Macaca mulatta: one gene and its partner. The protein of the gene in region 1 interacts with the protein of each later gene in a biochemical or structural test. Links are inferred from orthologs where the notes say so. Each region holds a gene or a part of one and is shown in the gene's direction. Other genes may lie near its edges.

Region 1 (3,745 bases):
TCGAGACCAGCCTGGCCAACATGGTGAAACCCCGTCTCTACTAAAAAAAAAAAAAAAAAAAATTAGTCGGGCGCGGTGGTAGGCGCCTGTAATCCCAGCTACTCGGGAGGCTGAGGCAGGAGAATCATTTGAACCTGGGAGGCGGAGGTTGCAGTGAGCCGAGATCGCGCCACTGCACTCCAGCCTGAATGACAGAGCAGGACTCCATCTCAAAAAAAAAGAAAGAAAGAAAAGAAAAAAAATTAAATGTGTACGCTCTTTGACTCAGCTGTATTACTTCAAGGAGTTGATAGCACCAAAATTGCCTAAGTGCTCAAAGGTGTTTGTAATTAACAGGAGATTGATAAGTTACATACATGTGATGCTATCTTTTAAAGAGGTACTGATATAAAAAAGATGTACGTGGCATAAAATTAAATGTACTTTATTAAGTACTTTTTCGAAGTGTTTACGGAATGAGTGCATTTTGAAAAAAAAAAGTGTATTCGAACTTTCAAAAAAGCTTTAAAAGCTTTATACAAGGAACGATTGAGTGATTATAAGAGCTGGCAGTGGAATGTTAAGAGGTGAGAGGGAGCTAAGTTTAACATAACTCTTTATGGTGTGACACTTAGGAGCGCATCACTTTTGTAATTGAAAAATAAAGTGCATATTTGCAGCAGCTGTACTCTTCAGGCTACAAGGAGGCTTTTCCTCCCGGTAGGCTGGATTTGCTTTTCACTTTCACTTTCGTGGCTGGAAACTTTCTACCCACGGAGCTGGAGGCTGAGGAGGCACCATAAAGCTGGGGCTTGACGAACCGGGGCCTGGGCCGGATCCCCACATATGCCCGGACTTGTTCAGTGGTCAGGTTCAGGAGTCAGGCGAAGAGGCGGGGAGACCTGCGGGACGCTGCCCCGCCCTGCACCCGCTTCCTCCAATGTATGTCCTAGGGGGCGGGCCTCGCGGGGAGCATCGGCACGATTGGCCCTAAATTCTAACCCGCCCAGGCCGTGGGCCGGGCAGCGTGGTGACGTCGCAACGCGGCGCAGGGTAAGAGCGCGCGCTGGCGGACGCGGCGGCATTAAACGGTTGCAGGCGTAGCAGACTGGTAGTTCTGTTTCTAGGTCTCAGCTTCTCGTCACGACGTTCGCCCGCTCGCTCTGAGGCTCCTGAAGCGGAAACCGGCTAGACTTTCCTCCTTCCCGCCTGCCTGTAGCCGCGTTGCTGCCACTCCGCCACCATGTTCGAGGCGCGCCTGGTCCAGGGCTCCATCCTGAAGAAGGTGTTGGAGGCCCTCAAGGACCTCATCAACGAGGCCTGCTGGGATATTAGCTCCAGCGGCGTAAATCTGCAGAGCATGGACTCGTCCCACGTCTCCTTGGTGCAGCTCACCCTGCGGTCTGAGGGCTTCGACACCTACCGCTGCGACCGCAACCTGGCTATGGGCGTGAACCTCACCAGGTGAGCCTCGCGGCGTCGAGAAGCCGGCCCCGGCCCACCCCCACCTCCGGGGTTTGGCGGGATCGCTTCCGAGCCGAGCCCTCATTGGCTGGCGTGGACCATCCGCACCTTCTCATTGGCCTGCCATGCAGGGGGGTGGGGCCCAGCTGAGCGCGCGGTTCGGAAAAGCCCGCGCTGGCTGCTGCGCGAACCTGCTTTTTCGCGCCAAAGTCACAAAGCGGGTGGTGGCGGGAAAATGACTGGTTTTTCTGCAGTGCCAGGAACACTGCTCCAGAGCTTTTGCTCACTAAATCCTGTTGGCCTTGAATGGACGCTTTAGTTGTGGCTTTTTTGTTTCCGAGACGGTCTCGATGTGTTGGCCCGGGCTGGTCTCCAACTTCTGGGCTCAGGCGATCCTCCCGGCTCAGTCGCGATTGACTTTAAATGCTTTATAATGTGCCCTTGCGAGAAAAGTGTCAGCCTGTCATCCTACTTAGTGGCAGGAGATTGTTTCTATCCAGAAGGGAAACTGCTGGTGGTATTTTAGTATAAATACTGCCAGATGCATCCCAAAATGTCTGCATTAATATTCGCATCCTCCAGCAGTGCAATTACCCTCCACCAGTTCTGAGACGGCCTATGGGTGAGAGTGGTAACCCCTTCTAACTGCATTAGAAATACAGACCTTCAGTAGATGGTGTTGATTTTAAACCATGTGTCTCCTGTCTTCTAGTATGTCCAAAATACTAAAATGCGCCGGCAATGAAGATATCATTACACTAAGGGCTGAAGATAATGCGGATACCTTGGCGCTAGTATTTGAAGCACCCAGTAAGTCGTACCTTTTTACTGAGTTATGAAGCTACAGAAGATCAAAACTCTGTGCCAGTGTTTCTCAACAGCATTTGCTTTTTTTTGGTAGACCAGGAGAAAGTTTCAGACTATGAAATGAAGTTGATGGATTTGGATGTTGAACAACTTGGAATTCCAGTGAGTATCAGTTTCTGATTGTAGCGACTGCTGTACACAGGCATGATAGTTATATCATAGAATGTTGTTTATTTTTACAGACAGGGTCTTCCTCTTTTCCCCAGGCTGGAGTGCAGTGGTGCCATATAGCTCACTGTAACCTGGGACTCCTGGGCTCAAGCAATCCACTTAGTCTCCTAAGTGGCTAGGAAGGACTACAGATCTGTCCCACCACGCCTGGCTAATTTTTTTATTTTTGTGTGTGGGTGTGGGGGCAGTCTTGCCCAGGCTGGTCTGGAACTCCTGGCCTCAATGATCCTCCTCCGTCAAGATAAGTTAATATAATTTAAGCCTACTTCATAACAGAACTTTTTCTAGAAACATATCTACTGGTGCATGTTTTAAAGAGATTTTAGTATTTGGATAGTTGTTTACCACAAGTCTAAAACTCACTGGTTAAATTTATTGTTTACTGCCAGTTGTCTATTTGCATTAATTTCCATGAACCTCTTTTAAAATTTGCTTCCTTCTAGGATGGTTGGTTTTGTTTTGTTTTGTTTTGTTTTTGAGGCGGAGTCTCGCTCTGTCGCCCAGGCTGGAGTGCTGTGGCCGGATCTCAGCTCACTGCAAGCTCTGCCACCCAGATTTACGCCATTCTCCTGCCTCAGCTTCCCGAGTAGCTGGGACTACAGGCGCCCACCACCTCGCCCGGCTAGTTTTTTTTTTTTTTTTTTTTTTTTTTTTTTTGTATTTTTTAGTAGAGACGGGGTTTCACCAGGTTAGCCAGGATGGTCTCGATCTCCTGACCTTGTGATCCGCCTGTCTCGGCCTTCCAAAGTGCTGGGATTACAGGCTTGAGCCACCGCGCCCGGCCCGATGCTTGATTTTTGTTAAGTGGGTTTGAAAGCTATCTTAGAAGAAATGTATCCAGGTTAGGTTTATAAACACCAAAGGAGAGAAGAAATGTTGGAATGTTGAAAATGCCTAATATCATATTCTCTCGTTTTCTTTTAGAAAATAGTTAGACCTGCTTGCGCCGTCATCATTTCTGTGGCATACTCTAATGTTCTCTTACTTTATCCCTGGAGGATGAGGAGGAGGAGGCGCTTGTTCCCTGGGCAGTGCATTTAATAGCCATTTATTTTTTTTGAGTGGAGTTTGTTAAGAAATTACACGAGTCAGTAATCAGAAAATCTTGATTCTGAGTTGTTTAGATGTTGCCTTTTAAGAAAGTGAGGGTGCCAAATCATTAAATTTCTAACAAGTAACTTTTGGAAAATTTTTGTTCTTAATAGGAACAAGAGTACAGCTGTGTAGTAAAGATGCCTTCTGGTGAATTTGCACGTATATGCCG
Region 2 (3,745 bases), on another chromosome or scaffold:
AGTCCCAGCTATTCGGGAGGCTGAGGCAGGAGAATGGCGTAAACCCGGGAGGCGGAGCTTGCAGTGAGCTGAGATCCGGCCACTGCACTCCAGCCCGGGCGACAGAGCGAGACTCCGTCTCAAAAAAAAAAAAAAAAAAAAATATATATATATATATATATATATATAAATAATAAAAACCAAACTAATAGAAGCCAACTGTTTCTGACTCCAAACCCTGTGGCATACATACACGTATTGTAACATTTCCTCCAAGTGGTGGTCACTCTCTTTTTTGAAGTTAACATCACTTTAAAAATGTACAGCACAAGTATTTTCTCCTAAATGGCCATTTCTCACAGCCCACACACGTTGTTTTGTGGGTAAGTAAGCTTGAATTGTATTAGGACCCTCAAACTGCAACATACGTCAGTCCCAAGAGCAGAGCATTCGGGTCTCAAGCAAACTACTTTCAGGAAACCAAAGTGCCCTTGTTAAAATGCAAAGTAAGTGGTAGAAATTATCTTTGCGCAAAATAGCCTAAAAATATCACATTCAAAAACATGGGAGAAGTAGGGGTGCGAGAATTTCCTCAGAAAATGTCCAAGACACAAACGAAAGTTAGCGAGAGATGTTAAAGGATATAAACATAAGGGTACTAGAGGGGCTGGAGCTCGGTCAGTTCGGGTCAGAGGAGTGAGCCAGCAAGAAAACGTTTAGTGCAAGGGAGACCATAAAGAATGAAGCTAGTGTTGGGGGCGGGATCTACACGTGCGCCTCGGGAAGGCGAGGGGATGTCGGGTTTGGGGAACGAAAATGGGCGAGGGTCGTGTTGCGAACAAGAGTGCAAAGAGAGGACAGGGGGAGGAGAGGCTGTGGGAAGCAGCGGCGAGATGAGAAGCAGCTAGGGACCGTAGTGTCCCAGGCAAAGGACAGGAACGGCGAGTAGAGAAGGCGGGGGTTTGGGAGAGGCGCGGAGGGCCGCGAAGGGAAGGTCCCGAAGAGTTGGAAAAGGAGGTCCAGGGGCCGCGTGGGCGGGAGACTACCCCAGTTACAGGCGGCACCGGAGCTGCTGGGGCTGGGAGAGAGTGTCGGGATCGCCCCAGGACGCCAGGATCCCAGCTACCTTGAGGGCTTCCAGCCGGTACCGCTGGGTGGAGTTGGGGTCCATCATGACCGTCACCGCTTTCACCAGCTGCTCGCACAGCGCGTTTACTTGATCCATCGCCATGCCTAGCGCCACGCCTAGCGCCACGCGCCGAGAGCGCACACCACTGCAGTCCCGGGACCACGAGGCACGACAGCTCCCTCGGCGAGACCACCCGTTGGTACCGGGCCGCTGCTGGCAAGCGGGGGTGGGAAACTGGAGGAGGAGCGTGAGCACCAGCTCGCGCTGGGAAGATGCCGGCGCTGCGCACGCGCCCGGCCCGCCACTGCGCACGCGCCCGCGGAAGTGGCGGCTCCCGGGTGAAGGTTGAGCCTGGATGGGCGGGTCGGGAAGCGGAAGGGCCGCGGTGCGCAGCCGCGTCAACGGCCCTTCATAGCGCGCGCGCTGTCTGACCTCAGTCTGGCAGCTTCGTAGCTGGGCGTGACGCTCTCGGCTTTTTGCTGCTGGGGGCGGTTGCCCGGGCAAGCTGCTTTACGACCCCTTCTCGGTTTCTCCGTCGTCACAGCGAATAAATCTCTCTCGAAACTCACTGGCCTGCTCCCAGAAAGGCGAAAAGATATTCAAGAGCCCTTCCGTTTTCCTTCCAGTGGACCCCGAGCCCAGCATTTGCGGCACCCGCTGCTGGCAGTTTTGCCAGGTGTTTGTTACCTTGGTAAGAAAATTTAGAACCGTTCGCTGTCAATGTGTTCAGACTTTCTATGTTGCCTTGGCTATTGGTTTTATAATGTAGCAGTGACTGGGCCAACGTTACGTGAAATATAAATCATGCTAACAGAGATAAGGCCCTGGTACTGTCCTCTAAGATTTTTCTTGTAGAAAAAAGTATGTTTTTCTCTGTAGTTCTTAAACCTCTGTCTTGGAATTATTTTCCTGAATGTATTATTACCTGGTGGGCACTAAACTTGTTTTGTGCGGATTGGGGTAACTCGAGATGTTAAAGGGAATAATTGCAATTAGTGAAGGTTTGTGCAGTTTGATAGTTGGCCAAGTGCTATACGTAAGATTTCAAAGTAGTGTAATCCTTATCCAAAAGCATGGCTTGGGCAGAAAGTCTGCTTCGTTTTCCATCTTTATAAAGCTCTTGGCCGGTCGCGGTGGCTAACGCCTGTAATCCCAGCACTTTGGGAGGCCGAGGCGGGCAGATCACCCAGGTCAGGAGTTCGAGACCAGCCTGGAGTTTCGCCAACATGATGAAACGCCATCTCTATTAAAAATACAAAAATTATTTTTGCATTTTTAGTATTTTTATACAGGCGTGGCGTCGCGCGCCTGTAACCCCAGCTACTCGGGAGGTTGAGATGGGAGAATCGCTTCAACCCGGGAGGCGGAGGTTTCAGTGAGACGAGATGGAGCCATTGCACTCCAGCCCGGGCGACAGAGCGAAACTCCGTCTCAAAAATAAATAAATAAAGCTCTTGCTTTCTCGAGTAAATACATAAACGGAAAACCTCAAAAGCTTTATTATCTGTTAAAGTCTGCATGTCTGTTTTTGTGATTGTGTGCTTAGTAAATGGTTTGCTGAACTTAAATCACCGCTTCCTATTCCTGCTCCACTTCTGGTATTTGGACCTAATATGGTGCTTAGCCCGTGTTTTTTTTGTGACAATACTATTCGTTGGCTCAATCTGTTCCAGTACTACAGAAAAGCCCCTTCAAAGTAAAGGGATTTCTGGCATGTTATGGTTTTAACTGGTAAATGTTTAAAGTATCACATTCTGCCTGTTTTAGGCGAGTGGTCGATTGGAATTTATAAGGAATTAATGCTTTGACTACTGTGATTTTAATTATTTTTCTTTCCACTCACCCTCCTGCTTTGCAGTTGTAAGACGTTTTTTTTCAAGGTAGTTGTTAGTTTTTGAAATACTTTTTTTAGAATACAGTTGGGTGCTCACTCAACTGTATAACCTGTGTTTCTCGTATTTAAATCATGGATTGCTGGTGTTTCGATTGTCTTATGTAGGTCTTGGCTCCCAAACTGCTGCATATTGGAATTACCTGGAGAGCTTTTAAAAATCTCCGTCCGGTCGCGGTGGCTCACGCCTGTAATCCCAGCACTTTGGGGGGCAGAGTCGGGCGGATCACTAGGTCAGGAGATAGAGACCATCCTGATCGAGACCATTTCACTTAACACGGTGAAACCCTGTCTCTACTAAAAATACAAAAAATTAGCCGGGCGTGGTGGCACGCGCATGTAGTCCCCGCTACTGGGGAGGCTGAGGCAGAGGAATCGCTTGAATCTGGGAGGTGGAGGTTGCAGTGAGCTGAGATCTCGCCACTGCACTCCAGCCTGGGTGACAGACCGAGACTATGTCTAGGAAAAAAAAAAAAACAAAACAAAAATCCCCATGCCAGGCTGAGCGCAGTGGCTCATGCCTGTAATCCCGGCACTTTGGGAGGCCGAGGTGGGTGGATCTTCTGAGGTCAGGAGTTCGAGACCAGCCTGGCCAACATTGTGAAACCCGGTCTCTACTCAAAATACAAAAATTAACCGGGCGTGGTGGCATGCGCCTGTAGTCTCAGCTTCTTGGGAAACTGAGGCATGAGAATCACTTGAACCCGGGAGACAGAGGTTGCAGTGAGCCGAGACTGTGCCATTGC

What was found.
Region 2: the proteins of PCNA (region 1) and POLH form a complex in vitro, tested with the Homo sapiens proteins (7 studies listed by BioGRID). The link is inferred for Macaca mulatta from reciprocal best matches to the Homo sapiens genes PCNA and POLH.

What each region holds. Positions count from the first base shown.
Region 1 is NC_133415.1:78,833,797-78,837,541, forward strand, and holds the start of PCNA (proliferating cell nuclear antigen), read left to right. Parts: upstream 1-1,030; 5' UTR 1,031-1,222; coding exon 1,223-1,443; intron 1,444-2,155; coding exon 2,156-2,253; intron 2,254-2,344; coding exon 2,345-2,412; intron 2,413-3,686; coding exon 3,687-3,745. UniProt on the Homo sapiens protein: Auxiliary protein of DNA polymerase delta and epsilon, is involved in the control of eukaryotic DNA replication by increasing the polymerase's processibility during elongation of the leading strand.
Region 2 is NC_133409.1:138,541,968-138,545,712, reverse strand, and holds the start of POLH (DNA polymerase eta), read left to right. Parts: upstream 1-1,543; 5' UTR 1,544-1,799; intron 1,800-3,745. Other genes in the region: XPO5 (exportin-5), read right to left, coding at 1,106-1,210. UniProt on the Homo sapiens protein: DNA polymerase specifically involved in the DNA repair by translesion synthesis (TLS). Due to low processivity on both damaged and normal DNA, cooperates with the heterotetrameric (REV3L, REV7, POLD2 and POLD3) POLZ complex for complete bypass of DNA lesions.